Linked DNA regions of Arabidopsis thaliana. The protein of the gene in region 1 interacts with the protein of each later gene in a pairwise test. Each region holds a gene or a part of one and is shown on either strand. Other genes may lie near its edges.

What was found.
Region 2: the proteins of SEC10 (region 1) and EXO70E2 interact in a protein complementation assay, tested with the Arabidopsis thaliana proteins (one study listed by BioGRID).
Region 3: the proteins of SEC10 (region 1) and SEC15B interact in a two-hybrid assay, tested with the Arabidopsis thaliana proteins (one study listed by BioGRID).

What each region holds. Positions count from the first base shown.
Region 1 is NC_003076.8:4,000,508-4,012,903, forward strand, and holds SEC10 (exocyst complex component sec10), read right to left. Parts: upstream 8,269-12,396; 5' UTR 8,188-8,268; intron 8,096-8,187; 5' UTR 7,939-8,095; coding exon 7,855-7,938; intron 7,777-7,854; coding exon 7,534-7,776; intron 7,444-7,533; coding exon 7,369-7,443; intron 7,254-7,368; coding exon 7,152-7,253; intron 7,081-7,151; coding exon 7,030-7,080; intron 6,948-7,029; coding exon 6,842-6,947; intron 6,651-6,841; coding exon 6,537-6,650; intron 6,438-6,536; coding exon 6,346-6,437; intron 6,136-6,345; coding exon 5,967-6,135; intron 5,885-5,966; coding exon 5,808-5,884; intron 5,724-5,807; coding exon 5,625-5,723; intron 5,538-5,624; coding exon 5,447-5,537; intron 5,365-5,446; coding exon 5,279-5,364; intron 5,188-5,278; coding exon 5,014-5,187; intron 4,819-5,013; coding exon 4,765-4,818; intron 4,697-4,764; coding exon 4,580-4,696; intron 4,495-4,579; coding exon 4,402-4,494; intron 4,256-4,401; coding exon 4,109-4,255; intron 3,987-4,108; and 13 more. Other genes in the region: AT5G12350 (Regulator of chromosome condensation (RCC1) family with FYVE zinc finger domain-containing protein), read left to right, coding at 1-38; AT5G12360 (uncharacterized protein), read right to left, coding at 383-580, 766-812, 911-1,180, 1,672-1,741; ANNAT8 (annexin 8), read left to right, coding at 8,716-8,788, 8,890-9,035, 9,122-9,340, 9,421-9,633, 9,790-9,879, 9,971-10,180; FIS1B (Tetratricopeptide repeat (TPR)-like superfamily protein), read right to left, coding at 10,441-10,520, 10,605-10,668, 10,756-10,877, 11,001-11,130, 11,336-11,443. UniProt on the Arabidopsis thaliana protein: Component of the exocyst complex involved in the docking of exocytic vesicles with fusion sites on the plasma membrane during regulated or polarized secretion. Involved in polarized cell growth and organ morphogenesis.
Region 2 is NC_003076.8:24,549,651-24,559,783, forward strand, and holds EXO70E2 (exocyst subunit exo70 family protein E2), read left to right. Parts: upstream 1-4,093; 5' UTR 4,094-4,961; coding exon 4,962-6,881; 3' UTR 6,882-7,393; downstream 7,394-10,133. Other genes in the region: RPA70D (Replication factor-A protein 1-like protein), read right to left, coding at 32-235, 325-445, 545-705, 794-938, 1,027-1,105, 1,189-1,416, 1,504-1,774, 1,860-2,037 and 3 more; ECT3 (evolutionarily conserved C-terminal region 3), read right to left, coding at 7,835-8,020, 8,111-8,257, 8,345-8,557, 8,648-9,208, 9,307-9,597, 9,713-9,786, 10,115-10,130. UniProt on the Arabidopsis thaliana protein: Influences the subcellular localization patterns of other exocyst complex proteins (e.g. SEC5A, SEC15A, SEC15B and EXO84B) leading to their recruitment to exocyst, well-defined large punctate structures throughout the cytosol.
Region 3 is NC_003075.7:1,033,605-1,043,634, reverse strand, and holds SEC15B (exocyst complex component sec15B), read right to left. Parts: upstream 5,522-10,030; 5' UTR 5,479-5,521; coding exon 4,495-5,478; intron 4,444-4,494; coding exon 3,064-4,443; 3' UTR 3,037-3,063; exon of another isoform or gene 2,861-3,036; intron 2,821-2,860; 3' UTR 2,571-2,820; downstream 1-2,570. Other genes in the region: AT4G02370 (pectinesterase (Protein of unknown function, DUF538)), read right to left, coding at 674-1,177; AT4G02360 (transmembrane protein, putative (Protein of unknown function, DUF538)), read right to left, coding at 1,992-2,456; AT4G02340 (alpha/beta-Hydrolases superfamily protein), read right to left, coding at 6,232-6,502, 6,603-6,841, 7,449-7,913; ATPMEPCRB (Plant invertase/pectin methylesterase inhibitor superfamily), read right to left, coding at 8,707-9,401. UniProt on the Arabidopsis thaliana protein: Component of the exocyst complex involved in the docking of exocytic vesicles with fusion sites on the plasma membrane during regulated or polarized secretion. Involved in polarized cell growth and organ morphogenesis.

The DNA.
Region 1 (12,396 bases):
GCATGGTTGACAAAGCCAGTGAGGACTTGCCTCGCTGAAACTCTTTAACACCAACCAGTTGTCTATTTTTTTCCTATGCCCGATTCAGGTGAGTGCAGAATCTCGGGATATAACAACAGATATATATAGAGAGAAATTAGATGTTTTTAAGTGCTTTCATTGTAGTTTGGGATTTGTGTGGTGTTGTTTGTGATAAAGTTGTAAATTCTTTGTGGTTAAATCATTCTGTAAATCCTATAAAACATACAGTGTTTTTACCCCCTAGAAACAATGCTGAGTAATTGGATTTCGAGCAGATTTGTAGATACATCATCACATTAGAAACTAAGAAGTTACTGATATTGTTCCAACAAAAAAAAAACAACTAAAGTAAAACTGGACCTCAAGTGGTGTCTTCATCCTCCTTGAGCTTGAATTCTACAGTTTCAAAATGCCATGGCAAAGGCGATGAAGGTAACGAAGAATGGTGATGGCTTAGTGAGTCTGGTGGTGAGCGCCATTGAGTTGAGCATTCCAGCAGATCGGAAAACTCCTCCATTGGTATCTCTTTGAGTTCATCCCAGCTGTTCTCAGCATCAATCTTAGGCACAAAAACAAGTGAAAGAGTCATGAAAGTTGCTCAAAACCGGAGCTACAATACGATGCTATGTGTTTGTCTCCTCTAAACTCTTATGGCATTAACCAACGATCTTAGAAGAACGATTCTCTTATAACTCAACATAATCAAGATAGAGAAAGACAAGGTAAGGTAAAAGCTAATCTTACCTCTTGAATATTATTGTATTGAGGAACCCCTTCTTTGATGTTTGTCTCTGAAAAGCAGAACAAAAATTAGGCTTCAGAGAATTAAGCCAAGCAAAGGAAACATAAGATAGAGAAAAAGGGTTCTTTCTTCATAAGTCATTATTACCATGTCCATGCAGGATGATGTGTTCAGAGAAGTAGCTATCCCACTGGTCTTGTTGTTGTTCTTCAATGCATTTGCTGTGATCATGCAAGAAACCTTCCTTTGCTATGTCAAAATCCACTCCCTCAACATCCTTCCTCGTCGTGGATGAAGCTTGAGGTTGCAACTTTGACTTGTTTGTAATGTCATGGAGAGCCTTGCGGCTTCCGAAACCCGCCCCATTTTTCTTTGGAGCTGCGAGTGAACTCTTACCTTTTCCAGCAGCAACCGCCTCTACAATGTCAAAAAAAAAAAAAAAAAAGACTTTAGAAACATAATAAGTTGCCAGGAGCTCTACCTCTAGAATTACAGAAATTCTATAAATAAAAACATGTTCCATGGTGAACATACATTCTCATGCTTACACTGATGAATAAAAACATATACAAGATGGACACAAAACAAAACTTAGTTCAAATTTGATCCTAAGCATAATATTGGACATGATTATAAATACAGACCCTGAAGCAAATTCATGAATGTATCTCTAAGCAATAATAAGAAGCTCTTAATTCAAGAAACCAAGACCTCTCATATGAATCCAAGAGAAAAAAAGACAGAAATATTCGCAACTTGGTAGGTCCTTCATGTTTCATTTCTCGTATAGTCTCCAAAGATTTTCCAACCATAGGACAAACGAGTCATCACAAAAAAAAACGATTTCTTTGTCCAATAAGATAAAAGGGAGCAAAAAACCCAGAGATTGCAGTGTAGGTAAAAATTACTTTTTCCAAGGGCCGCCAATGCATTCTCGTCCTGAAAAATCATCTGCCCGCGAAGAATTGTGTTGGCCATGCTCACTACATTCAACCAATTTTGGGGGTAAATTTTACATGAACAAGCAGCGAATGAGTGGGAAATGAAGCAATCTCGATATCAACAAAATCAAACCCAATCACTAAAGATTAGACTCACAAGATGCCGATGAGCGGATAGAGAAACTCCAAATCAACAGCTAAACAATTTCCCCACCAACCAAAATCCCCAAAAGAGTTGGCAGAAATTAAGAAGAAGAGAGTGATGATAGAGAAACAGCAAGGACTCTGCTCTAAACGGAAGACGAAGAGAACGAATCTGCTGCGATTTAGGGTATGCAGAATTTCAAACGAACAGAGAGAGAGAGAGCGGTCCGTTTATTTGTAACATTTTCAAATTCTTTACTCCCTTTTTTTTTTTGCAGCATCGTGATCAACGAGGCGCAAGGATGTTTTAATGGCTAATGGCTTTGCATAACTTTTACAGTGTTAATTTAAGTTAGTTACTTCTTTTATTTTCTCCTATTTTGCATCTTTCCAATTTTTATGCAGAAAGTAAAACATCTGTCTTGAGACTCATAACGACATCTCAAATATTTTAATTTTTTGGACCAAAACGATATCTCAAATATATTGGTCACTGTCTCAAGCGAAAAAGAAAACACAAATTAAGACCCATAACGATTCAGAATGAAGAGAGGAGGCAAGATTTCATGGTATATACATAAAATAATATATATCTGGTGGTGGCACTGACTGACTGGTTCAAGTGTGTTCTTTAAACATTGAGAGATCAGCTCAAGCTTGGCCACAAGGAGCTGAGTTTTGTTGCCAGCTTCGCACTCTTATAGTCCTCCCTCAGTTGAATAAACCTGCACATTATTCTCAACTCTTTATTTCATCATTTTTATTCTTTCTATTTTATCCTTTATAATCTCTTTCTATTCTTACCTTTGTGCGTCTTTGCGAATGCTTGGACTTCCCTCGAACAATGTTGGCAGACTATCTGGAGCAACTATGAAAACATTCGCTATTCTGCACTCACAAAAAGTGATTACAATAAATAATAATAAGAAGAAGAAGAATTAAAGTGACAAGAGAGTCTCAAGATTGTTATTTACATTCCCAGAAGCTCAAATTTCTCATCCACAGATGGAGCACCGAAGCTTTTAACAAATCCTACATACTCGTTTAAGTCACGCTTCAGCCGCAGTCCTCCACTGTCAACCCAAGTGTTAGTAATCATAAAAACAGAACCAAGGTTTATTCACTCAGACCTAATTTTGCAATGGATCTTTTATTTAATGTGGTCAAGACTTTGATTTGATCCGACAAAACATTTATACCAAGAGGTGCGAATCAAACATTGCATTCATGTCAGATCAGAGTGAAAACTCAGAGATAGCAAATTTGGAATGGTTATCTATGTTTGATTTATTAGGGCCCTGAATCTCATTTTCGGTTATTCTGCAGATGCGATTTTAGTAAGGAAAAGAGAAAACATACAAAGAGCTGAAATCATACCTGGGATTGAAAGTGAACTTCTGCCAGTGTGTTAGTAGCAGTTTTTCTAACCTATTTCCCTGAAAATGATAAAGAAAACTTAATTCAAATCCTCATCCTTCTCTATATGATGCATAAATTATAAATTATTTTTTTTAACTATTTATTTTGAAGTCACCACAGTAGTGGAAAACAAGATTGAGTTGCTTTTTAATTGGATCATTCATTTGTTAAAGACTGCCATTTCATAGGCAAAAAGATGGCAGTATATGGAAAAGTCGAAGTTATCACACAGGAACTTAAGCTTAGAATGTTTCTTTTTCTTCTCTAATCCGTCGTTGGACAAAGCAATAAAAAGCAAAGGCCAGGGCGAATAAATACTTCGAACAGATCAAATAGTAACCAAAAGGCTTAACGAAATCTGTGGTGAGAAAGAAATCATACCAGTTCAGTCAGGAAGGCTTGCTTATTAAGACCTTCCAAGGCAGTGAAAGCAGACTCAAGTACCCGGGAAAGATAAGCCACGACCCTAAACAAGAGAAAAAATCAGATAAAAGAATAGCACAGTGTTGAGACGTGATCAATAGATATTTTGTAAAATGGTTCAGAAATCTACTAAGTATAACTACAGATAAGCACTTCTGGCTTATCAAACTAAAAAAAAAAAAAGGTGAAGCCTTTAACCTTATGCAGGCATTTGTTGGACGGTGGTCAGAAGCAATTCCATCATCAGTTGATCTATAATCAGTAGACTTCTGCTCAGATGAAAGTAGCCTATCAACCTGAAAAAGACCATATTAGAGTCCTTAAAATGAGGGGAAAGAAAATATTAAGCATGACTCCTAAACCTGTTCAGGGTTGAACCTCATGGCTCTGTTTGTAATGTACACAAAAAAGAACTAACCTCAGCCATCACAGTTTCAATGCACTGCTGAAGTCCTTTATAAGCAGCTGCCTCTGCTTTGGACAGAGCAGTTGACATTTCTTCACATGAAGCAGCATGTGCACCATCCACTGGTAGGAGAAGCCGAGATATAGAATTTGCAAAATACTGGAAAAGAAAATTAGATGATTATAGAATTTTCATTGTAGAAGATTGGGTCAAACTATTTGAATACTTTAATAGTTGAGTAGGAGAAGCCTTCTCAGATGAAATAATTGAAACGAACTGATAACCATAAAAGTAATCCAACATGCCTGCTGAACTATAGCAACACTGCTACCGCAACGTTGCACAGCAACCATGAAGGATTTAAAGCTACTTTCACCAGCAGCAGCAGCAGCTTCTGCCTGAGAAACAATCAAAGAAACTATAATTAACTCCACATAACAATAGCATTTCAAATAGTGAGAAATAGAAAAGAGAAGGAATTACAGCAGAAGCAGCTGCAGCAGCTACTCTTCTGCCCAAAACAAATCTCTCCCTCAATGCTGCAGCTTCAGACAGGCTATCCCTTGCCCGTTCAAGTCCCTCAGTTATGTATACGCTCACCTGCAAGAACTCATCATTGCATCAGCTCTATTAATATGAATGACTCTAGAATCTCATGAACAGCATACCTGGTCTAGCAGGCAAGTAAATATAGCTTTAACATTGGCTGCAAGTGTGGCTGGCTGCACAAAAAAATAATTATAAATATCAGATATGCAATCCCAGATATTAAAGTTTACTTACTGTTAGATAATTCAGCCAAAATCAATATTTTAGATTATTTCTTTGTCAATATCCTATTCCGACATCTTTTCTCAAAATTCACAGCAACTAACTTATTTTGGAAAAGTTTCTCATAAATTGCTAAGTTCAGTAACCTGAGATGAAAACAATGTGCATCTGGTTATTGCTTCTTCATTCCATCGAACAAAATCTGTGACAACGGTGACTGATATCTGCTGCAGAGATGATGATATTGAAGCACCCTTAGAGCGTCCTATTGTCCCAGATGACTCTGAGACTTGCTGACTCTCAGCACGCAATTCTTCCATCTGTAGAGAAAACCTCAAATCTAAGCACTTCACATTAATGAACAACATAACAACTAATTTCAATCAGAAAATTGAAATAACCATATCAAACCTTTGCTTGATATAGTTGTTTTAAGGAGGCCCGCTCATGCTCAGGGTATTCATCCTTGTGCGAGGAAAACAAGGACTCTGTCAAATCTGCACAGTCAAAATATAGAGTTGTCAGCACCAACGAAAGTTTGCATGACAAAACAAAACTTCTATCATTAAAAAAAACGACCTTCAACATCCAGGTCACCACATCCAACAGCTCGGAGGTCTTTAGCAAGTTCTTGTGTTCTCTCATATGCAACTGCTAACATTCTAAGGTACTAAAGACAAAAATTAAGAGTTAACTTTCTTATACCAATCCTACTACGAAGATAGCAAAAGAAAGAGATAAAGAGGTATCTACACACTAGTAACAGTCCGCCTTCTTGCACAGGTGGTGGACTCATAAGAGAGGGCTTCGCCAAAATTTTGTCTAGAATACCTGTGACACGCTGCTCCAGAACTCTCTGCGTAAAATACACGAAGAGTTGGTATAGCTTATCCATATGCCGGGTTAACACTACAGTGTCCAAATTATCGGTGCCAGTTACCTGAACTAAGATCGCCATAACTTCATTTGGAGTCGGGAAAACAGCTGTAATGGTCGCTGCTTCTTTGCGTACGGTGTCTACACATAAGAAGTAACAAAATATATGAATCAGCATAGAAGCATGTTTCAAGTATTGCATCCAGATCAATGACCTTCAAACCTGTAATTTCCTTGAATAAAGCAGAAAGTCCACGGGCAACATTGCTAGGACTAGGCTGAGAACCATGGTCACCAAGAACCAACCTAATGTCTGAATTCATGACTTCCACATCAATAAACATTGGACGTGTAGCCACATAATGTTGCATAGCACTTGTACCCCTGTTAAACTGAAAATCAAGAAGAAAAAATACTAAGTATCAAGAACCATATGTACAAGAGGAGAACTAGACATCCATTCCTTCTGTGACAGCTTTATGTAGAATTAACCAGGATGTAATCACTCGATACGTAAGGAAGGCCTTCGCTCGGATCTTAGATAAAAGAACAGGTTTTCCTACTGAATTGTAAAGGGGCATGCTGCAGAATAAAGCATTCACCTGTGACAAAATCTTAGCGCATTCTGACATGGTTGATAAATCTCTCCGCTGTGATGCAGCATCAAAACGAGATAAAAGCCTGTTCTCCAATTCTACAGCATCATACTCAAATGTCACAAAGAAAAAGTTGAACATACAATAATCCTCTTCAGTAAATATACAGAAAACACAGTATAAACGAATTAGTTTACCATTACAGTAATCCTGAAGATTAGCAACTGCAACTTCCAGTCCTCGGCCAGGGGTAGCATTTCCTGCAGCTGCACTCGCACCTTGCCTTCCAATGTCTTCCTCAGCAAAGGATCCTGATATCGACAAGGAGAGCATGGAAATCAATTGCAGCCTAATTTAACTGTAAATTTTCATTGTTTCTTTTTGGTTTTAGTAAAGTTTCGTTGTTGGAGAGTTAAATTCTTAGTTGTTAACAAATGATAGATAAAAAGTTGTTCTAACACTCCAGACAAATTTCAAGTAACATAAAGCTATCACATCATACGTAATTTCTGAGCGATAGAAGCAGCCTCAGCTACGCGGCTATCATCAGAAAACAAAGCGGAAAGCTCCATAAGATCCCCTGGGCTGCCGTTGAACTCCATTAGGTACTGCATTTGTTGAACAAGGATTACTTTAAGCATTCATCTAACTAAATATGTGACCAACCTTGCAACATAGATGCACACTTACCTTTATAAGATCTATCGTCTGGCTAGCAGTTTCCCGCTGAGCATCTGCACTCTGACAAAGGAAGCATGGGTTAATATTGGATAGACCACCAGATAGTTGGTTATAAGCAAGGTAAATTTTACCTGCAAATGATCTCCTATTTTTGCAGCGGTCTGTCCAACACTTGAAATACGACCGTCCAACCTTGCAAAGCTCTCAAACAGACCGTCCACACCCTTCTCTATCTAGAAAGAGAATTCAATTACCATTTGAAGAAATGATCGGGGTGTCAGTTATTCATCAGGTAGTGATCCATGTACCCAAGGAATTTAATCAAACTAATAGTATTAGTCTGCCAACCTCAGTCAGTGTCTTCCGGTGTTTAGAATCTTGGGTTGAAACTTCCTTCTTTAGTGTATTGAGCCTTCCATCAACCTTCCAAAATAATTAACAAAAACCTCAGATATCGGAACGATGAAAAGATAAAACAAGGGCTAGTCATCGATGTAGACGCAAGACACTCACCTGCTTCCGAAGATCAACTAACTCCTTGCAAGCATCTTTGAACAGAGACAAAAGACCATCTACTTCAGGAAAAAAAGGAGCAGAGGACAAAGGAGCAGACTGTCCACGTAAATGCCCATTTGTCAAACCATCAACTCCAGCAATGTTGCCATGGCCATCCCCAGAATCTGCTTCTTCGTCTAGGAAAGACGGCAAGAGGTCGTTTACCAGGTTCCCAAATAATGCATCAAATGAAAAATCACCCTGTCAGTGACAAAAAAAAAAAAATCAATATCCCTTATGATTCAAAAGTGAAAAAACATAAGCAACTGAAAACCTCACCTTAAAGTCTTCAATGTCAAGAATCAGAGGAACAGAGTTAACAGAGGATGATCTGGGTCCTCTTGCTCTGATTCCTTCTGTCATCTGATAAAATGGAAAATTCAAAGAATTGAAGAATCAAGTCTGACAGATCATATATGAAACATTCAATAAATAGCAGAAAGAGATGCGTATGATTCTGGATTCTTCAATGATACTACACTAGCGTAAATCTTCTAAGTTAAGTCATCACCGGTAATCGCTGTTTACTCCGCCGAATGCAACAAAATTTAGAACCTATAGATGACCAATCGCGCACACGGGAAAGGAAAAATGTAATATGGAGCAACTTACCGGCGATGAACGGAGAGATCTAGCCGGAGGAATCCGGTAACTGCAGGGAGAAAAAGACGGAGAAAAGAGAGACGGTCTTCAATGGCGGACTTTTCACAACTATGAGCTCCCTCCTGATGAGCTGTTAATTTTATTTTATACGAGTTTTTTTTTCCTAAACCGGCCGGTTAACGAATTTGATCAACTGTTAATTTGTTAATTTTTTTCTAAGGCAAAAATATTTGTGTTCGTGTTTACAGTTAGCTTTTGTGTTATGGGATGCAATAATATTCCTTATGAAAACTTAATTCCTGAAAAAATAACGGCAAAGTCATATACATAAAGGGGTGGCGTTAACAGAGAGAGTTTCAGATTAACATAGAGCAAAAACAATCAATGAGCCGTTTGAAACATTTTCTGGTCTCTTCAAAGCATTGTAACATCATTACCAACTCTTATAAATTAAGAGTGCTCAAAGCAATGGAAGCAATATCCAACAAGTGATTAATCTGAGTCAAAGATATCTTACGCAGAAACAGAAAAAACAAAATGGCCACCATTGTTTCTCCTCCACATTTCTCCCCTGTCGAAGACGCTGAAAACATCAAGGCGGCTTGTCAAGGTTCTACTTTTCTTTGGATTAGTGTTTCAAAACTTATGTGGTTCATCAAGTTTCTTGCTATCTCCTTTACTCCTCTTCTTTATTTCTATTTGGCGTTTTAGGATGGGGAACCAATGAAAATGCCATCATCTCGATCTTAGGACACCGGAATTTGTTCCAGAGGAAGCTCATAAGACAAGCTTACCAGGAGATTTACCATGAGGATCTCATTCACCAGCTCAAATCTGAGCTCTCTGGCAATTTTGAGGTTTAGATTTTATATATCTCCTCCATGTGCTCTACTCTACTCTATTTCAATAATCCACAAAAGATAAATATATTTGTTACCTGCAGAGAGCTATTTGCTTGTGGGTCTTGGATCCTCCAGAGAGAGATGCTCTCTTGGCTAACTTGGCTCTTCAAAAGCCTATTCCTGACTACAAGGTTCTTGTCGAAATTGCCTGCATGAGATCCCCTGAAGATATGTTAGCTGCTAGACGTGCTTACCGTTGCCTCTACAAGCATTCTCTTGAGGAAGACTTGGCCTCCCGTACTATTGGCGACATCAGGAGAGTAAGTAATTTTAAATTTCCAGATAGTTTCTTCTAGTTTTGACTGATCTTCAACGCTTGGGCGTTTCTTGATATATACAGCTCTTGGTTGCAATGGTGTCTGCTTATAAATATGATGGAGAAGAAATTGATGAGATGCTGGCGCAATCAGAGGCTGCGATTCTTCATGATGAAATCCTTGGTAAGGCTGTTGATCACGAAGAAACGATCAGGGTGTTAAGTACAAGGAGCAGCATGCAGCTTAGCGCAATCTTCAACCGCTACAAGGATATATATGGCACATCGATCACTAAGGTATACAAACAAAAAAATGAACATCAAGTTATGTTATAACTGATCTGTGACAAAGCAATCAATTGGAAATTTCTAGACAACAATACAGCAGTCATACCAGTTTTTCTTCATGACAATGTTCTTTTTGCTGTCCTTAATGAAACATTTGATGACCAGGATCTCCTCAATCACCCTACAAATGAGTACCTGAGTGCACTACGTGCAGCCATCAGGTGCATCAAAAACCCTACCCGGTATTATGCAAAGGTAGGATGCAACAATATTGTTTAGATGTGTTCTCTAAATTATCCCAATAAAACTAACTGGTATTCATATGGTTAATCCCTAATGCACGTAGGTTTTGCGCAATTCAATCAACACGGTGGGGACTGATGAAGATGCTCTGAACCGTGTGATTGTCACACGAGCAGAAAAGGACCTGACGAATATAACTGGGCTGTACTTTAAGAGGAACAATGTGAGTCTCGATCAAGCTATAGCAAAAGAGACATCAGGGGACTACAAGGCCTTTCTTCTAGCTTTGCTAGGACATGGAAAACAACTTTAGAGTTCATCCTCAACTTAACACCTTAAAACAGTTGCATCTCTTCTAATTTTCTAGTATGGAATAAAACTATATTTAACGCTGAAGTAATAATAAAGTTTTCTGTTTGATGCTTCCTCAATCAGTTCTGTTGTTTAGCTTTTCATAGTAAAACAGGAATTACATAATTTTCCTTAATAAAGACATTCTTTGAAGGACACAAAGAAACTAAACAGACTCACTGAAAATAAGGGAAACATGTACATGTATGGGTTCTTTCCTCCTTAGCTGCGTAATATGGCTGCAGCAATACCAGCAACAACCCCTACAGCAGTAACAGCAATTCCAACGCCAATCACACCATCTGATTTCAAAAATCAAAAGAGAGTTAAGAAAAAGCAGCTGAAGATTCTAATGGACGATGTGTGGACAGTTGACACAATAGTACCTTTCACAATACGGTCCTCTATAGCCTTTTTGAGTGCCTGAGCCTGTCCGGACTCCGGTTCAACCTAAAACCACAGAAAGAAAAAGAAGGCATTGTAGAATACATCAACAATAAGATATTCAGGAGTTATCCATGGAACAGATGATCAAACCTCCAAACACCGTTCTATACAATCCCGGCTTCTTGAAAAGTCACCGCTTCGATAGTAACCAAGAGCAAGGAGATATAGCTTCTCCCTAAGTTTCATTGCACTTGTATCATTAACCACCAAAGCTGCGAAAACAAAGCAAAACACTTTGCTAAGATCAAACCAGTCATATGGATCAAAGCATCCACCTTTTGGAAGAACAATAGGCAGCTGAAGATTCCATAGAAAGTGTGAACATAAGCTATTACCTTCAAGCATTGCAATCCCACGCTGAATATCCGAAGGCATCTTTGAATGAACAAGAGCCCATGAAAGACGCATAATGCATTCCTTCTTACGTCCTTCGTCTTGAGCCTCTGCAAGTTCTTTCTCACATCCCTGAGAACGATGTCAATTCCTTACAAAATTATGTATGCATGCCAAAATTCAGGCCAAACACAAAAAAATTCTTTACAAGGACAAGCAACGCAAGAGAATCCAAAATCCGATGAAGGAGATATTAAAACAATTGGAAATTTGTGATTCGAGGTTCCTGTGCGTGTCAAGTTGAGGAACATAAAAGGTGGTGAATCATAAAACTTACGGAGATGATGTCGGAATCGCACAAGGGAAACTCATCGGCGGAAGCAGAAGCAGCGCCGGAGAAGAAGTCTGAGACGGAATCGAAAACCTTCCCTATCGCCGCGTCCATTTTTCCTGTCGCAGCTTCAAGATATTTCAGAGTATTCTTCTCGTTGGCTTTGACGATGATCCTCCCCTTGTGCTCAGCTATTTTTCTTTGACGAAGACCAGTCCAGAAATTTGACGGCAATAAAATTTTTGCGTAAATTTAGAGATTTTTTAAATTAATTTAGAATTTTAGGTGGATATTGTTATTAATTTATTATCATATTAATGTTTTCTTTATAAAGATAATATTGGTTTAACAAAAAAAAAAAAAAAATTGACAGAGTGAATTGCAAAACAAACATTTGATAAAATAATTAACAAACTAACACTATAATTTTAAAAATGTAGTAACTAACTATAAAGGGTAATTATTGACCAAATTGGTTTTGGTGGAGGTGATAGTGACTGGACGCGGTGGTGGCCGGAGGTGGTGGTGGTCAGAGATGGTGGTGGCCGGAAGTGGTTGTGATTGAGAATGATGGTGGCCGAGGGTAGTGGCCGGAATTTGTGGTGGCCGGAGGTGGTTATGGCTGGAAGTGGTGGTAGCCGAAGGTTGTGGTGGTCGGAAATAGTGGCCGGAGGTGATGGTGGCCGGACGTGGTGGTGAACGGTGGTGGTGACTGGACGTTGTCGTGGACGAAGGTGGTGGCCGGAGGTGGTGGTGGCCAAAAGTGGTAATAGTGATGGTTTTTAAAAGGATAAAAATGTATTGATATATATTATACTCACAATATCATATAATTTTTTTTTTTGGTTAGTTATCTAATTTATAAATTTTTGTATGTTATATTAATTTCTCTTTCTCAAACCTTTTTTTTACTAGGAATTGTATTGATAATCAAAATATAAATCCAAACTCTATTTCATATTAATGATATTTACCTTTTAGCAAAAACAAAAACATCAAATCTTCATGAGTTTTTATACTAATTTGTCCATCATGCATTCATTCCGTCATGCTTTATCTCCACTAGG
Region 2 (10,133 bases), about 21 Mb from region 1:
CCAATAGAGAAAAAAAAAGAAGTAAAAGCTACTACTGAGATGTTTTGTTCTTGTTGGAGATGTCTTGAAGCAACAATCTTGTTTCAGCAGCAAAATCAAGAGGAGCTACTCCTTTTACAGTTACCCTCTGTCTCTTCTCACCGTTATACTCATTCTGTGTGACACTAACCCGGAAGACATGAGATGACCATGTTGCCTCTTTCAGTTTTGTCTGATATTCATTTACTTCACCTTCCTGTAAACAAATGTAAACATCAAAATGATGACTATACTTCTTAAGTTCTGACAATTAATAAAAGCTCATGTAGGGTTTTGTTTCCTTACCTCTGATTTTAGTTTGTTGAGCTCATCAGCTGAACATCCAAGAATCTTCTCTGCTTCATCGTTGAATGACGAAATCCAAGTTTCTCCAGATGAGTCGGTGACTTTCACCGCCATTATGTACCTAGCGACAACCAAAGTGGACAGATTTGTAAGATGTCGGAGAAAGGAAGTAAAGATTATAACCAAGTTTGATTATGAATCAAAAGAGTATCTCTCTTACCTTAAGCTGCATTCTTCATACTTTCTCTGGCATCCTTCACACCAGTAACCAGAGTCAAGTGCTTCTGTCACTTTCTTGTTACAAGTCTTACAAGCTTGGTACCACATTGTTTGGTCTGGTTTGATGAAGCTTATGTAAGCCCTAGTGCTGAAAAATACAGGCTGATCCAGAAAATCCAAGTTCATAATAAGTTCATAACTCTATAATTAAGCACTTTTGGTTCAGGATTTGAATTTCAGTGTTTAGTACCTTTTCTTCGAATAAAGATGGATTGCTTGTGATGTGAGAGAGAAGCACTCGGTCAGTATACAAAGACCGAGATCCATTTTTGGCAGAAGGGCTCATCCCTGAGCCAATAGAAGACATGGATATTTCCTTGCCTTCAGAATCAAACCTGCCAATGTCAAAGAGAATGGTAATTGAATAACAGAGACAAGTTTCATCATTTTATTTTATCAGCTGGCTCAATCCAAAAGGCATACCAAGATTTCAACTTTTTAGCTTCTGGTGATTCCGGGTTAATAACCACATTGCTTCTGCTGATGGTAGACAACGAAACACCTGGAGAGATTGGATTCTATGAGCAAAAGGTTCAAACAAGTGTGATTTATCCATACTGTTCAATAATACCAAATACATCATACCTTGAAAATCTCCAACTTTGAGAGACTTGATTGCAATCACAGGTGACTGATCAGCCATGTCTAGTAGCTCCTGACCTATGCCAGTTGCAAGATCATTCCACAGGGACACCACAACAGTTTTCCTTGACTCATCAGCCAAAGTTATATCCCTCTTAGGAATCATCTCATTGTCAGTTCTCCTTCTAATACTCATGGTAGGAGATACACTTTGAACAACTCCAATAAGATCTGAAATAGCATAACAATTAAGTTATTATCACAACCAATGTATAATTTACCTGGAAAAAGAATGTTCAATGACAATAAGGCTCTTACCAATAAGTTCCTTCTGATTAACATACAGACCCAACTCTTCAATGGGTACGAAGTTGAATTTTGTCTCAGGGATGAACATTTCTTCGCTACTAGCTTCCTCAACCTCTGAATTTTCATTCAGTGTCATCTCATAATCATTCTGAACTGTTTTGAACTGCTTGTTAGCGAGTTTTAGTGACCCCCTTGATATATAATAAACCTTTCCCAACTGGAATCTGTCAAAAAACTTCCTTGCAGCATCATTAAACATCGTTGCTTGAATTTGTGTTCCCTGGATAACAGCCAAATAAACAAAATGAGAAACCGCATAAAGGTTGTCTATACCAAGTTTGAGAGATAGTAAGGAGCTTTCTTACTTCTTCATCTGTTAGTTCAACATTGAAGACACATCCTTCACCCCTAGCGTTTTTGTAATTTCTCATCACTCCCTTGTTTGTAACTCGGACTTTGATGGTCCAGTTTCCTTGATATGGATTTAATGACACAAGTGGATGAACCCTTCTAGTCATGGCCATTCTTGCAGCTGGTGCAGCACTGTCAAAATCCAAACGAATTTAAGCAAAACACTAATAAAATAACCATTTGACAGAGACAGTAATGAAACATTGAAGATCAAAAAAGATAATTTGCTTACTTTCCCCTTTGTTCACTCATTATCTGAGAAGCTGATTTGGCTACAAATTCCTGCTTCGGTTTCAATGTGATACCAGTAGAAACAACATCATTCAGAGGACTGACAGGAGAATGCTCTAGTTTCTGCTTCTTGGGCTCACGAGCCTCCTCCTCTCCGCTCTTACTGTCCAAGTTAATCTCAGAATCAAGCACAGAACCAACAGCCTCACATTTAGTCACAAGGAAATATCTGACACAGAGACAATAGAGAAACACACATGTTAGTAACTGTTGATTTCAAGAATCGAACCAGAGTGATTATCCATGTAAAGAAGAAGCAAAAGAGAAGTCTTACTTTGTAGATTTGCTTGAAATGTCGTTAACAGTGAAATCAATGAGACGAATTAGACCCAAGTTCTGGATCTTCCCAGAAATGATTTCAGGTGTGAGTGAAGCAGTAAACATTGCTTTGACTTTCGTCTTTCCGTCATTTGCACTAAATCTGTCAACCAAAATCAAAACAGATCCATCAGAACAAAATCGGTAACTAAAACCCAAAACTAGGCAATATACAAACTATTATCAACAAACCCAGATCTCTTCTATCATAGAGTCATCAAAGTCGTTGCATATCATAATCTAGCTATACAATTGTGATTGAGAGAATATAACACTGACCTAAAGCTGGAACAAGCGAGATTTAAGAAATCAAGTAAAACCCAGATCATGAAAAGCCAAGGAAACTTACGTATAGCGATTGCCGATAGGTTTAAGATCCACAACTTGAACAACGATCTCAGATCGATCGGAAGACGAATCAAAGGATGGGTTTGACAAAACGGTGGAGATGGCATCTGGGGTCACCGAAGTCTGCATCTTTCTCTCTAGATATTGAAAAATGAAACGTTTGGTTTCTCTTTAATCAGAATGGTGAAAACTAAAAGCCGTGAGATAGTGAGAAGAATGAGAGAGAGGTACGAGGGTTTTTGTAAAGGAGAGAGCTTTAAGCGGGAGCTATTAAATTCGATTAATTGTTCCCCCGCCGATTTCAATTTCTATTTTTTTGGCAAAAAACTCTTACCGCTTCTTTTCAGTATCTTTCCATTTTTTTGGCGCATTTTGTTTTGTTTGATAATGGACTTTGTATGCGAAAGAAACTGTGTTACAAAAGCCTTTCACTTCAGGCCCATAGTTTATGGTTTTGTTTTTATGTGTGGGTCTTGAATCCACCGTATCACACGTTATGATTCATAAATATCTAAAATTTATTTCCAACAAATACAATTTTTTTGTTTCTTAAAGAACACATACGATATTATTATTTCAGAAAAAGATTAAATACAAAATCCCCAGGATCAAAATCAAACACCAATTCCAGATTAAACAATATCAACAATCTTTAATGTTTTTGACTTTTTTTTTTCTCTGAATGTTTTTGACAATTGAAAAAAATAATTCTACGCATTGCGTGAGGCAAACATTTAAAATTTTAATTTATATAAAGAGAAAATTTATACTTCTTGACTTGGGAAAAAAAAACTTGCTGAGGTCCTTACTTGATATGAGCTGTCAACTACTAGTGTGAGCCGTACAAATATAATCGGACGGTTCAGATCAATACATTGCGAGCCAGTCAAACTTCAAGTATTGACTAATCAACATCAACGTTTATTACACTAATTTATTATTGTACCCCTTATTTTCCAAAAACATAATACTTTTATCCCTATTGTATCCAATAGCTCTAAAAAAATCCACCATAAAATGTGTTTAATGAAATTCGATTATCTCTGACGACAACATTATCAAAAATCAAGACAAGAGATAGAACATAAAATGTTCAAATTCGTAAAAGTAATTGAAACAAATTAAATTCATTTCGAAGTTTATTAATTACATTTTGACCCCCAAATTTAAGTTAATTAGACTTACCATCCCCATGGTTTTCGTCCCGCCATATGGGGAAGTCAATGGACGAATCAATCTCAATTAGATTCGGGGCGGCCCAAAAATTTATCATTTTCTAAACCTTTCGTAATCTACGAAATTACGGGATCGCCTTCGTTGGAATACTAATTCCATTTTTCAACTTTGTTTTTATAAATACAGTTTACGTGCACCACAACTTTTCTTCTTTCCCTTCTTCTTCCCCAATAATCTCGCTGAAACTCTCTTGCTCTTGCTTCTAAAAATCTGTTCTTTGAGACTTTGATCACACAGTTATCAAAATCATAATCTCTTCTTTCCTGGTTTTTTTTTTTTTCTTCTTCTTCTTCCCGTTTCACGGTACGTTTACTCTGTTCGATCACCGAGTGTATGATAAAATGTTTCTGTGAAATCAAATAACATATCACTTTCTAATAAACATCAAAATTTCTCCTTTTTTACAGAAACAAGAAGTTTTTTTGGGAAAGCCGTTGACTTGACTTTTTCTTTGGGGTGTTGTGTGGGAGCTTATAGTATGGTACCATAAGTGGGAGCTTATAGTTTGGGGTGTTGTGTGGGAGCTTATAGTATGAGGAAAAATGTTAGATTTGAAGAATGCTTCACTGATTTTTTACCATAAGTATGTCAACTGGATTAAGCTTAAGTAGTAATGGTTTTTACTATGTTCATGTGGGGATTTCTCTTCCTCTCTGTTTACTTCATTCCGAGATGACTTGAGATTTTTTCAAAGTATAGTTCTTGGAGTTAAGCTTACCTAGTAATCACTTTATATAACATCCCTTCGTTTACATTTGTGCTTTCACCTGGAAACACTTTAGACTTTTCTCTCTTCTGCCGTGTGTATTTAGTTGTCTAGTCAAATTTAAGTTGAGTTTAGGCTCTAGTCTTTGGTTTTGGTTATGGCAGAGTTTGATTCCAAGGTTCCTGTTTCCGGAATGAACAATCATGTCTTTGAGGCATGTCACCATGTTGTTAAGGCACTGAGGGCATCTGATAACAACCTGGATGCCAATTTGAGAAAGCTCCTAAGTGACCTAGAGATGCATTTGTCAACATTTGGGATTGCTGATACCAAAGTTGAAGATGCAGGATTCTCTGAGATCAAGAAGAGATTCAAAGAAGCTGTGAAGAGAATCCGCAGTTGGGAGACAAACCAGTCGACGATGTTTGAAGCTGGTCTGTCTGAAGCTGATCAGTTCTTTCAAGCCCTGTATGACGTTCAAACAGTTCTTGTGGGTTTCAAAGCTTTGCCCATGAAAACTAACCAGATGGAGAAAGATGTTTACAACCAAGCTACGGTTGCTCTTGACATCGCGATGTTGAGGCTTGAGAAAGAGCTCTGTGATGTTCTGCATCAGCACAAACGGCATGTACAGCCTGATTACTTGGCTGTTAGTTCCCGTAGAAAAGATATTGTGTACGACGAGTCCTTTGTCTCCCTAGATGATGAAGTTATTGTCGAAGCTTCTTCACATGAAGATGATGAACAGATATCGGACTTTTATAATTCTGATTTGGTTGATCCCATCGTACTTCCTCACATCAAAGCTATTGCAAACGCCATGTTTGCTTGCGAGTATGATCAACCATTCTGTGAAGCTTTCATCGGCGTTCAAAGAGAAGCTCTGGAGGAGTATATGGTTACTCTCGAAATGGAAAGATTCAGCTGCGTTGATGTTCTCAGAATGGACTGGGAGGATTTGAATGGTGCAATGAGAAAATGGACAAAGGTTGTTAAGATCATTACTCAGGTCTATCTCGCCAGTGAAAAACAGCTATGTGATCAGATTTTGGGAGACTTTGAGTCAATTTCTACAGCTTGCTTCATTGAAATCTCAAAAGATGCAATTCTATCACTCCTCAACTTTGGAGAAGCTGTGGTGCTGAGATCTTGCAAGCCAGAAATGCTTGAGCGCTTCCTTAGTATGTATGAGGTTTCAGCAGAGATTCTCGTGGATGTCGATAACCTCTTCCCCGATGAAACAGGCTCGTCTTTAAGAATTGCATTTCACAACCTGTCAAAAAAACTAGCTGATCATACAACCACAACCTTCTTAAAGTTCAAAGACGCAATAGCCTCAGATGAATCCACACGCCCCTTTCATGGAGGCGGGATTCATCACCTGACCAGGTATGTAATGAACTACTTGAAGCTTCTCCCGGAGTATACCGACTCACTAAACTCACTGCTTCAGAACATACACGTTGACGACTCCATCCCCGAGAAAACAGGAGAAGATGTCCTCCCTTCGACATTCTCTCCAATGGCTAGACACCTCAGGTCAATCGTCACAACTCTAGAATCCAGCCTTGAGCGAAAAGCTCAGCTGTACGCAGACGAAGCACTGAAATCCATTTTCCTGATGAACAACTTCCGTTACATGGTCCAGAAGGTAAAGGGATCAGAGCTGAGACGCTTGTTTGGAGACGAATGGATCAGGAAGCACATTGCAAGCTACCAATGCAATGTCACTAACTACGAGAGATCCACATGGAGCTCCATACTCGCTTTGCTCAGAGACAACAACGACTCTGTAAGAACCCTGAGAGAAAGATGCAGACTTTTCAGCCTTGCATTTGATGATGTTTACAAGAACCAAACCCGTTGGTCAGTCCCTGATTCAGAGCTCCGCGATGATCTTCACATCTCGACCTCTGTCAAGGTTGTTCAGTCTTACAGAGGATTTCTTGGAAGAAATGCAGTTCGCATAGGCGAAAAACACATCCGATACACTTGTGAAGACATTGAGAATATGCTCCTTGATCTCTTTGAATGTTTGCCATCTCCAAGATCACTGCGCAGCTCTCGTAAGAGATGATGATGATGATGACTTGAGCCTAATGGACTCCATCTTTGTTCTTTTGATCTTTTGTTATTTACTCACTTATGCAATGTTTTGTGATTGCTTACATGCAAATAAAGTTGTAGAATTTTTATACTCCATTGTGGGGATGTAATAGTAATTGGCTATCTTGTCACTATGTCATCTTTGACATGCTTAATACAAATTCAATGTTTAAGTCGGATTTAACATTTATAATGACGATGGTTTTTTGGTTAACTCTATGGACTCATCTGATTTAACTGAGGTATGGACTTGGGCTATTTGACTAGGAGATATCTTTGGTGACTTCTTACTACTACTCACCTCTGTATTCTCTGCTGGATTTTGGCATATGCAACAGCAAAGTGTTGTTGATGGAACAAGTGAAGGAAGTGAGCTAGCAGTGGAAAGAAGACTGGGCTGATTATGAATGTCAGTAATGACGTCTCTCCCCAGTCAAGAAGATAACTAGAGAATTATGCTTAGAAGATTTGATGGTAGCCTTGCTATTCTCCATCTATTCTCATCTTCGGAAAATTGTCTAAACTATAGTACCCTTATGTCCAAAAACCTACAATCTTCTGTCAAAATATGAGAAGGAACTTTTTTTGGACCGTTTGATTCCTGCATTCGAGTATGAAGCAGATGCCAAATGTTTCTCTTACTTGTCTTGCCTGAAAAGTTATATAAAACTGAATAAGCTGATTCAATACCAATCTTTTACCCATATCCTCATATGTTGGACCATTACTAAAGGGATAGAGAATAACTGCAAGATGATGAATGCTCATGCCAAAACTTCATCTACTAAGCCACTACCCTCTCAACTCGGTTCCAAAAAAAAAAAAAAAAAAGTCTGCAAATTCAGGAATGGAAACAAAACTAGAGAAACGCTCTAAATAGCCTAAAACAGCCCACCCAGTTCCCACTTAAAACCAAAGGTTGGTTCAGCAGGCAGTAGCAACAGCATTTTTCTCCACAGGTAACTCGGTCTCTTTCACCACTTTCGATTCTTTAGTCACTTCAGCCGCAACTCCTAGTGCTGCTGCATCTTCTGAGGCTGTAGTAGACTCTTGAGGTTTCACAAGATTAATTTTTGACATTACACCTTTGTCTGCATTGGCCACCAATGTCTGCTTGGAAACAATACCAAAATTTGTAAGATATTCCTGTTATATAATTATATATATCAATGAATTGTTGGTTTCAGAGAGGATTGTTGCCTGTTTTTTGATCTGCAGGTGTTTGCTTTTCCTTTCTTGGATAATCTTTTGACGATTCTCATAGAACTCAAAATCATCGAGGATGCATGTCTTGCTTGCGTGGTCCTTGAAAATCTTGATGACTTTAATGCCTTGCTCGAGCTTTACCTGCAGACAAAAAAATGGTAAGAAAATAAATGACAGCTCAATTATTAGAATACAAAAGATGATAAATAACACAGTGAGCGGACATACTTCCTGTGTGTCTCTGCTATTAGTAACCGGCTTGTTCTCATTGTTCTCCAGAGTTATATGCCTCAAGGAGCTATTAGGGATATCTTTAACGAAATGCCACTTAACAGGGAAGCAACCAATCCATTTGTCCTGTTGCCAGTATTCAACAGTCTTATTGAAATCAACAGGGCCTACCATCTCGGCTAAACCAACAAATTGTCCACTAGTGTTTACCTGCATCAATGAAAACATAAGAACTCTACAACTAAAACTGAAATACACAGCAGAGGTTGATAACATATTCAAAAAAAATTATTCACTCACAGAGAAAAGTAGAAACACGGGACAGCCATCTGACTTCTGTTTTGCCTCGTTATATGAGGCATCCAGCTTCTTGTTACCATTAGGAGTGCTGGACCAAACACTGTATTTGATACTTTTATGAATATCATCTTCACTGTACGATTTGATTACATAAAACTTTGCTTCTGTGTAGGTCTCAGGGAAATCTATCTTATTGTAGTCCTTGGGATCTAAAAGAGACACATCTTCACTGAGTTTCTCAGTCTCAGTCACTCTCTGCTCCTTCAAAGACACAGCCATCACCTTGGAACCATCTTGGCTGTTGAAACCCTTAGCTCGTGGACCTCTATTCATCTCATTTAACCCCTCAATGTTTTCTTTGCCATATCCATGATACCCGTTTCTTGGCTTGTAGGTATTGTTAACCGCATACCAATTGGGCATGTATTTCCATGAGTCATAACCGTAAGAGCCATACCCATAGCCATTCGTGTAAGGTCCACACATCCCATAATTGGAGTAAATGTTGTCCATGTATCCTCCATAAGATTGACCATTACCAGCTGATCTTCCCTGCTGAGTCTGCAAAATAAGATGATAATAAATTAAACGAATAAACAAGTCAAGATTACATACCAAGTGATTATAACTACAGCTCAATGAATGAAATAAGAACATACCAGGTACTGATACTGAAGATTGGTTTTCCCTGAAGCATAGCTCCCAGTGTAACCATGTCTTGGGTACTGATATGCTGGGGGATAGTACCCATAAGCATAGGCACCCTTCCCATATGAACCCTTTGCGTTATAAGCTGCACTTTGGTACCCGAGTTTCTTAAGGTTGGATCCCTTGTCTTTGGTCACACCTCCATCTTTAGACAAAAGACTAGGTTTACCAATTTTGGTAGCCTCCACTAACTCATCATTGAGCAAGAAGTCATTACCGTTTCCGCCATAAGCCCCCTGCAACTAAAATGGACACTAGCCTTTATAAGTTCACTCTGAAAATTACTCTTATTGAAACCAAAAGGCATGTTTTCTGAATCACTAAACAAAAGGTGAACACTAAACCACAGAAAAATACCTTTGTTTCAGAATCAGGAGCTAAAGCCTTGGTTGTTGGATCAATCGACAAATTATGTAGCACATCTGAAACATCTATAGAAAAAAACAATGAAGGAATAACAAAATTTATGATTTTTTCACGAGTCAAAACATCAGATCAACAAGGAAGAACCACGATAATTCTTCATAAACCCTAAAAGTTAAGAATTTATGAACGATTTACAAAAAAATAAAAACAAAGAAGAAGATCTAAATCCATCGTAGAAAAACAAGAGTGTCAAAAGAACTAACAACAGATCCAGCTAGAATGAAGAAATCAGCTTATATTTAAAACCCTCTGAACAAAAAGAATCTTCTTAGAAGAAAGCTTTGACAAAAACTCATAAAGCAAATACAAATAGACACAGATAATGAAGGATACGGTCAGGATTTGCCATGGC
Region 3 (10,030 bases), on another chromosome or scaffold:
CCATTTCATGTTACTATCTCAATTCTCAAGCCTATGAAGGTTAGTAAATCACATAGACCAATATCGATCATCGACACAATGGTATGATGTATTATAGGAATCAGTGTAGATCTTCAAAGAACCATGATCTAATTCCTCCCAAAACAGATGAAACATTTCACAGTTACCCCAAAAGCACCAGACTCTACCAATAAAATCTTCACTACATATCTCTAACATCTGCAAGCTAATTCTCTTCTCACCGAAGAGTAACATCCGAAATCGAATGATCGATAGATTCTATTCTACTAACTGCAGCTCAATCCTATCCAAGATCAAATATCTCAATCTCCAAAACTAGATGGCTTCTAACCTACTAACTGCAGCTCCATCCTAATTCCCAGCACATCCAAACCAAATCAATACAAATAAGGAGTAAAGGACCTTATGAACAAAAATGAAAACATTCAATCTAAGATTACAAATGTTCACTTCACAATGTTCACATCTCCCTTCAGTATCTTTTCTTTTCACCATTACAGAACTTGAATCCAATAAATAGAACTAAAGTAAACAATTACAAATTCCAGACACTACGCTCATATTATTGGACAATACATAAAAGATGCGATCTTTTCGAAAGGTAAGATTTTTTGGGGACAAATTACAAAAAAAGATTGTACCTTTTTCAATTTCAAGACGAAGAAAGAAAAGGGATTCTCTCAATCATGTCCAATTTCGAATCCTTGCACTCAAAGCCACAACCACACTGAGGCGATTCCAAAAACTCTTGGATCGCGAAATTCGCCGATGTGATCCCAACGGAAAACTCCATCTCGTCACCGTTTCTAATAACCTCGACGATGTTAAGCCACAAGAACAAAACTTTGACTTTAACACCAGTCAATTTCTTGAGCTTGTTCTCGGAGATGTAACCACTGATTGTTGATTTGTAATTCAATTGGTAAGAACCAACAAGATTGAAGCTACATGAATCGTTGAAATACGCATGGAATTTGCCTGTTGTTGTGTCTAAATCATAAGCTACGACTCCTTTTGGAAGGATTCCGACGGGGAAGTTGTAGCTTTGGAGGAGTGAATAAGCCGTCGGAGTATCGGATTCGGCGGCGGTGACGACGGCGGCGGTGAGTGAAGAGAGGAAGAGACACGAAGCGATTAAAATCGGGAGACGAGACATTTGGGTTTGAGGAAACACACAAATCGTAGAAGTAAGAATCCAAAGATTGGATTTTTGGTTTTTTGATTTCTCCGCCTGTGGATTTTCGTTTTGCCGTCGTAGACTTTTTGTAATAATGGTGGTCGTTGAAAATATCTTTTGTTAGATATAAACTACGCCGTTTTAGGTAGACAACTGGACACGTGGTTAGTTTCTACAGGCAGTCAGGTTGTAGTGATAAGACAAATTTTTGGGAAAAGTTCTCTTAGATAATCATGAATTAAATTTTATCAAGACATTTGTTAACAAAAAGACAAAAAAAAATTGTATATAATTTAGACTATGAATAATGATATAGACCATACTCAAAATTGCACCGCAACAGTATTGTAACAGTATTAAAATCTTTATATATATATATATATATATATTTTCGTTATTATTTGAACTGTACAGTACTTCTCTTCCTACACGGCAAAATACAGTCACCATTCGAACTCTTATTTTTATAAAAAATTGTATAAACATTAATCTTTTGCTCCATGAAAAAAGAAGATAAATTAACTTGACCAGTTTTCTTGTTTTTATGGTCGCTTAAATTTATTTATTTTGGTGTAAAAACTTCAAAAAAATTCTAATGTTAAATAGAAAGTCAAAAATGGTTAAATAGTCTCGGTCTCGGAAAGCTCAAATTGACATGAAAGAGAAGGGCTTTTTCGGTAGGAACTAATCATACACATACATTAATCAATTTATTAATTAACTAATCAATACTCATAAGCCAATCATAAGAGAAGGGCATTTTTTATTCAGTACAACACAAGGCCCAACAGATTCAAGAAGAAAATAAAAGCCCATTATTACAATCAAACCCACAACCACACTGAGGACTCTCTTCAAAATTAGCAGCCGGAAAACTCGCCGACGCGATTCCGACGGAGAAGTCGAGATCGGCGCCGTCAAGAGACACTTCAGCAATATTAACCCAGAAGAAAAGAACCTTAACACTAACTCCTTTCAGATTCTTGACATGACCGGGTGATATAACGCCGGAGATAGTTGATTTGTACTTGAGCTGGTAGGATTGGATGGTGAATTCACACGTGTCATTGAAGTAGACTTTGAAGTTGCCTGTTTTTGGGTTAAGCTCATAGTCAACCACTCCTTTTGGGAGGATTCCTGGTGGTAAGTTATAGAGTTTGACGGCGTCGTAAGCGGTTGGCTTTTGGCCGGAGACGGCGAAAGAGACAGTGAAGAATAGAAAGAAGACGATAGAACAAGTATTCGCGTCTAGCGACATGGTTCTTTACTTCTTTAAGTTTTGCTCTTATGATTCGTGTCTAATTTAGCATAAGCTTTGAAGTGTCTCATTAAGTACAGAAGACGAAAACAGTTGTTAGGTGTTTGTGTGTTCTGGACTGTCTGATGAAGAGACCATGCAAATTAGATGTACGGTGACGATTTGATTGACAGAGAGAGCACACGTGTTAATAGGGAAAAACGACGATCACGTGGTAACCAAACCAACCTTGATTGAAATAAAGAAACTCAGCCAAGTTTGCATTCCACTGGACTGATTTTACTATTTCATGATCGTAACTAAAACCGTACTAAGGATCCGATTGATGACTTAATGCGGTAAAAAGCTACGGCATAGTGAAAGGCTGCAGTGACATGAACTTTGCAATTCAAAATCAAACTATTGAACTCATTAACGAAAATGCTATTAATGGAAGAAGAAAAAAAAAAAAAAACAATATTGGGGTGAAATCAGTTTTAGTGTTTTTTTTTTTGCCTTTCTTTTTGAGAGACCAACGAATCATCAACAATGAAATACAAAGCAATCATATAATTAACACAAAGGACGGGATCGTACTTACGTTTTGGGTTTGTGCTGGGATCCATCATCAGCTCACATCTTTCAATCTCTTTATCAACGCATCTAAAGATTTGTTCTTCGGGTTTTGCCTCGACCCTCTTGTTCCAAAAGTCCCGAAAATACTATCTGATGGATCTCTGAATTTCTCTGAAACCGTGGCTACTTTCCGGTAATCCAAAGCATTGTAGCTTCTTTCTCTGATCACCGGGTTTACAAAATTCTCAGGATGACTACTCAGAAGTAAATTGATCATCTGTCTTATCTCGACAAACGCTTTTTTCATCTCTCTTGCTTCTTTATCCGTGAGCAATGGAGTTAGGTTCTCTGTAAACGAGTCCAACAACTGAATATCCACATCAAGTCCTTTGATTGCAGCCATGCTCAATCTTTTTACTAGATCCCCGCATAACGTTCCAACGATTTTCTCAGAAATGTGAGCAAGGACATCACGCAAAACCCTTTTCAAGACTTTAGCGGGTAAGATCTGTTGTGCGGTGGAAACCAAAGTTTCCAAGTAGATCAACACTTCGTTCATGTACTCATTCCCACCTTGTGGTATATCGTCGCTTGTCCAATTGACATTCTCGAGTAATGTCATGAAACCATCTATCTTCTTCTTAAGCATTCCTGAGAGTGTATCTTCTGCAGTGTTTTGAGATTTCGTCAATGGGAAATGCCTCCTACCTCTCTCCGCCATTCTCAAAGGAACTCCTGAAAGATGTGCAGCGTGACGGAAGAAGAAATCGCAAGCTCGTTCAAATACGGCCATGTTTGCTGCAACTTGCATTGCCTGAGAAACTCCATGAACCGACGTGCTAATCAGCTTCAACAGAGCCTCATCGAGAACCTCGCCTAGAAGCCTATCCAGATACTTCTTCACTACATCATAGAAATCAAGCTGACCTCCGTGAGACATGAAACTAACCGAATCCTCGATAAAAGACCTCACAATCCGGCAACAATCTGGGACGGTGGTCGAAAATGGAGCAATGAAAGGGAATGCCGGTACTATTTCTGATGTTTGTAACTGGAAAGAGAGCACATTCATGGAATACTCATATTCTTTCTTCATCAACATCTGCTCAAACTTATCTGCTGATAAAGCTTCTGTGATCTGTTTACGGCAATCAGATAGTAACAACTCATGATACTTGTCCCTGTGCTTGCTTAATACTTCGAGAAGGGAATCAACAGCATAGCCATACCTGCGTAGACTCACCCCCAACAAGCTCACATAATCCTTAATCAGTAAGAGATGATTAGCCGTCTGCATTCTAGAGAACTGATCCTCCAACACAGCACACATCTTAGTAACAGCAGTATCCCACAAAGTCTCCACTTCCAGCTTCGAAATCAACCCTCCTCCAGTCCTTAAAACTCTATCCTCTACTATGAAAAACCCAGCAATCTGTGCGAAAAACGTCTGATGTGACTCGAGAAACGGAGTCATAGTAGATACCTGGAAGTCAGAGGTAAGCTGAAGATCCCTATTGTTATAATAGTACTGCTTAAAAGTATCCCCAAGAGATAGTGTCTGATGAATGTGATAAGCTCTATAAAGTGGTGTCAAATCAAAACCTAGCAATCCACCTCCGGAACTACCACCATCGCTGCCTTCATGGCCAGAACCAAATTCATCATCCTCTTCTTCGTTTAGCGCATAAACGCAATCGCGTAGACTAAGTCTACTCTGCTCCTCCGCTTGTCTCTGCTTGATCCTGAGCTCCTCCTCTCGCTGACGAGCCGCGGAAGCTTCACCAATAGCCAACTGACCTAAATTCCGACTCACCACACGGATCTCAACCAACCAATCTCCAAACTCCTTATTCACTTTCCTCTCCACATAAGATCGAATCGCCGGAATCCTATTCTCAAGCATCCGTTTCAGCGTTGACGAAGGAGTTTTCTCCATGAAATCACTCTCAATCGAGTCCACACATTTCAACGCCATGTAGAAATTACCGCTCTGAAGATGCTGATTAGCTCGAGAGACAAGTTCCATAACACGAACACAATGAGTCACCGCTCCAATCGCCAGATCGACGTTCTTAGACACAGTCTGAGCCTCAACAAGCGAATCGAGAGACGAAAGAAGCGGCGCCGCAACAGATTGGAGTTTAGAGTTTGAATCGGAAAGCGCAGATTTAAGCGATTCAACATCTGAGAGAAGCGATTTAAGATCGTCTACGGCGTGGATAAAGTCTTGATAGTGAGCTTTACATACCTCTTCGATCTCTGATTCCTTAGATCGTGCGAAAAACTTGAGATGGTGAAGAAGAGTCTCTGGTTTCCCTGTACCGAAAGTTTTCCGAACAAATGGTCCTAAATCTTCACCGTTACAAATGGCAGACGATATCAAGAGCTCGTCGAGCTTCTCCGCCGAATCTATACCGGCTCCGGCGGTTGTGGAGCCAACTTTCCGCCGTCCTTTCGACGATTGCATTGTTTTATCTCCGATTAGGTATAAAGCGTTACAGCGAAGAAGAAGGAGGAATTTTGGATTTGGGACAACGAAACTGATTTGGTGGTTTTTTCTTCAAAGGGAGCTCGAATTTTGGGGTTTGACTAAAATGACATTGCTGTAGAAGCGGTGCGACGGAAGAAGACGAGGGTGTGTTTGTCTTTTCAAGCTGCGTAGTGGTTTTTTCTTCTGACTGGCGTCTTCAATTAATTGTGAATATTTGTCAAACTGAGTTTTACGCGTCACAGGCGCGTGGTCGAACGCGCTTTAGATTTTGTTGAAAATATCCACTGCCAAAAAATTAATACACCAATTCTGTTGACAAAAAAAAAACATTGGTATTATATATTTTATTGAATTTATTCAGTTGGTAGGTATAAATGTCCTTAGTAGATTTATAATTTTTGATAAAATTGTACATATATTTCAGTTTTTTGATATTAATTTCACCTAAAAAAAATCATCTATGCTTAATTGAAGTTTTCTAGAAACCATAGGAATTCAACATTTTGAAAATTAATTTGGACATAAGAAAAGTTTAAGGATATATTGAACTGGAGATGGCCAACATTTGAGAAATTATTTGTTCTATTATTATATTTTGCTAAATTATTAAACAAGCACAATACACAGATAGCATCCTTGAAAACATTACATAGTAGGGCTCTAAGACAGTAAGTAACCCTGATCAAGCTTAATCAACCTTGAATTTGACATTGTGCAGACGGAGAACTACTACAAGGATGCGGTTTCGCGGGTTCTGAATTTCTTGAAGAAGCCATAGATATGGTCAGTGACCTCGTCAGGCTTCTCTTGATGGAGGAAGTGACCTACACCTTCCATTACCACCACTTCTTGTAGAAAAGGTACGTGCTTCTTCAAACCACCTTCATGTATGTATTCCTTTGTTCCGGGGATATTGTATGTTATGTCTAGATCACCCACTATGAATTTCACAGGGACTTTGATTTGTAGACCGGTCCATGGAGCTGTTAGTTCCCAGCTTCTGCAGGTTAGGATAAGACCAGATTGATTCAAGTCCAAGATTAACCATGAAAAGATGATTGTATGATGTAGAATAGGTGGCTAGAATTCATAAGACTTACAGGTTCAGGGCGCGATAGTAGTTTAGCCCACCGGTGAAGCCTTTTTGGCTAAACTTGTCTCCGTAGAACCTGACATCTTGTTCGGTGAGCCAAGCGGGCAAAGAAGGTGGATCAGGTAAACCTCTGAAACCAACTGACTTTGGAATGCAAGGTGGACGTGGGTTACGCGAAGTGAAAAATCTGGTTATTAACTTTTTTGTATCAACTTGAGCAAAGTCCTCTTCGATCTCTCCAGGCTCCTGAGAAAAAAGAAACTCAAAATCTTTAGTAGGACCAACTTAAGCAATTGAAGACCACAAGACTGATCCAACTACATTTACTTAAAGCAAGTAACTCAAATAAAGTAAATGACTTTGACTTTGACTGCACTATATTAAAGTAAGCACTAATTGCCTTTTTCTAATCATCAATAGCAACTTGCATTATCAGAGTCAGAGCCTGAGCTAAGTTCAGCTATGTATAGGTAGGTGGCTGGTCTCTGTTTCTATAGACACAAACAGAAACTAATAGTGGCTAAGAAATTTCTCATTGTGTATACATTTACACATAAAAAGCTCAACTTTCTTGAAGCAGTATCAAGGCATGGCAAAAAGCAATCGCCTAAATATACATCTATCTCAAATCGGTTCAATAACTTGATCTCATAACTAAACACCAAAGAAGCATTGGCTATAAAGCAATTTGCCACAACTCTTGTTCATAATCAACCAATCTATCATTAACGTGATCAAATCATGAACAGTAATCATCAATAAACCCTAAGTATGTCTTTGATTTCAACCACTGAGAACTTCACCAAACCCTAATTTTCATTTCAATTAAGTGTTCATGAGTTTAAAGTATTACCTGAAACCTGCAAATGTAGTAATCATCGCCGAACAAAGCCCTAAACGCATCAACAGGTTTCACAGAAGGATTCCTCGGATTAAACACAACGCTAGTGTTGACCAACGCGTTGACTCGATCAGGCCTGATCATACAAAGCCACCACGCAACAATTGCTCCCCAATCGTGACCGACGAGGAAAACCCGATCAACACCGAGCGAATCCAGTAATCCGACGAGGTCTCCGACGATATGAAGGATGGTGTAAGATTCACGAGACGGCGGCGCATCGGAATCGCCGTATCCTCGAAGATCTGGAGCGATTGCGCGGTAACCTAAGGCAGCGAAAGAGACAAGCTGGTGACGCCATGAGTACCAGAGATCGGGAAAGCCATGGACGAATAGGATCACTGGACCTGAACCAATCGAAGCCACATGCATGTTAATACCATTGGTAGATATCGTCGTGTGCTCTATCTTCTCCATTGCTTCTTTCTTCTCCTTCTCACTTCTTTACTCTCAGGTGTGAATGAACAAAGAAATGTCATTAATTTAATATTTTTGGAGTCAAAATATTTGAGATATTTTTATTTTATTTTTTATGACTAATATAAAATAGAGCTATTGACAAATATAGCACCAAAAAGGTTTTCTTCCAAAATCAACACAATATTTTTAAAATTTCACAAACTAACACTATAAACTTTAATTAAATTTAATGAAAATATAAAATAGAAAATAAAATTAAGAGCAAACACTAATTTAATATTAAATTGAGTCAATTTTTTAGAAAAATAGTAAAAATATATACCCTAAATTGAAAATTAGAAACCAAATATAATACCATAAACTAATATTCAAATGAATCAAAATTTCTTTTAAATGGTTGAAATATATACCCTAAATTAGAAATAGAATATCCAAATTTTATATTTTAAATTTATTTCAAATTTATTTTGGTTGAATAGATTTTATATAAAAATTGTGGTATTATTGAAAAAATAAATTAGTAATACTTTAGAACAAAAACTTTATAGTAAGTCAAATAGTGTTATTTTTGGAAGTTTATGGATTGTGTGCTATTATTGTCATAAAGTTGTTTTAGTGCTATTTGTAAGAATTTCTCTATAAAATAATGACCATAAATATTAATTAGTGTAAATAAAATTTATTAGATCTTTATTTTATTAAAGAATGTTCCAAATTACAACAATGGACCAAAATTAAGACCAAAATTTACCCATAATAATAGCTAAAACAAATAATCAGATACAAGAAATTACGAAAGTAAACCACTAATATAAGGTACACCACTCTGAACCATCCAACCATCTCCTAACAAGAAATTCTCGACTGTGAAATTATTCGCATCCGTAGAATTAATCACATGATAACCGGGCCAAACCACTCGATCTGTAGTACTTGAACCGGAACCGGTATTGTTATACTCAGCATAGTACAACGTACTCAATGCGAAATCTCCGTTCCATTCTCTCCAACCAACCGGTTCAACAACCTCGTCTATGTACGATTGCATAAAAACCGTACGTGAATACTCCTTCCATGGTCGTCCCAAATACGTTTTAACCGTATAGTTACTCGAAACCAAATCATCTGCCGGTTTAATCGTACAATTGTGAATCGAAATTCCCGTGTTTTGATTCGGATCAGTACGACCTTGAGCTGTAATAGCGTTGAACTGGTTCTGCATCGGTTGTCTTGGATAGAGATTACAGTCTTGGAACACAACAGCTGCATTGCCGAATATGAAATCGACTGTTCCATAAATGTCACATTCTCTATAGAACTGTCTTAGTGAATGTGTGTATAAAGTGTCTTGATAAGCTTCGAAACTGCAACTATAGAAGATTGAAAGATCTGCACTGCTCCTCATAGCTACGGCCTGGTGCTTCTCTGGTCCAGCGGTATTTCGGAAAGTCATGTTCACGGCAACGAAGTTCGGCGATGTAACAGCTGAGAAAAAATAAAGTCACAATATTTCTATAAGAAAAATGGTAGTAGTAATTCAATAATGCGTCTTGTCATCTATTCACTACATGTAATATAAAGTTTGTCCTATAGTGAAAAACGTGCAATTATGATCCGAACTACTACGCACGTAAAAAAGTCTATAAAGTCTGAATAATTTGTGTGGTTAGTTTTAAGATTTCATCAACTCATCATAGCCATGTGTGTCGTCGGCAACGTAACAAAAGTGCCGGTGACTATTTTTTACTTAGATTATTTGAATTGATTGACTAATATTTTATTATTATGGAGAACATATTTCAATAAAGGTTTATTATTATCTAACTATATCAAATTATACTCTTGAATTATTTTAAAAATACTATTCTATCTGTTTTCTAAAGATTATTTTTTTAGAAAAAACACATGTATTAAAAAAACGTATTAAATATTGATTATAAATATATTATATTTTATATTTTACAGTTTTTTATAACTCTAAATCAATGATAATTAACTATTTTTTTGAAAATTATAATTCATTAATACTAACCAATAAATATTGTATGAAAATTTTTAAAAAACAATATTTTAGAAACAATTTTTTTTAAGAAAATCAATCATTTTAAATTGCT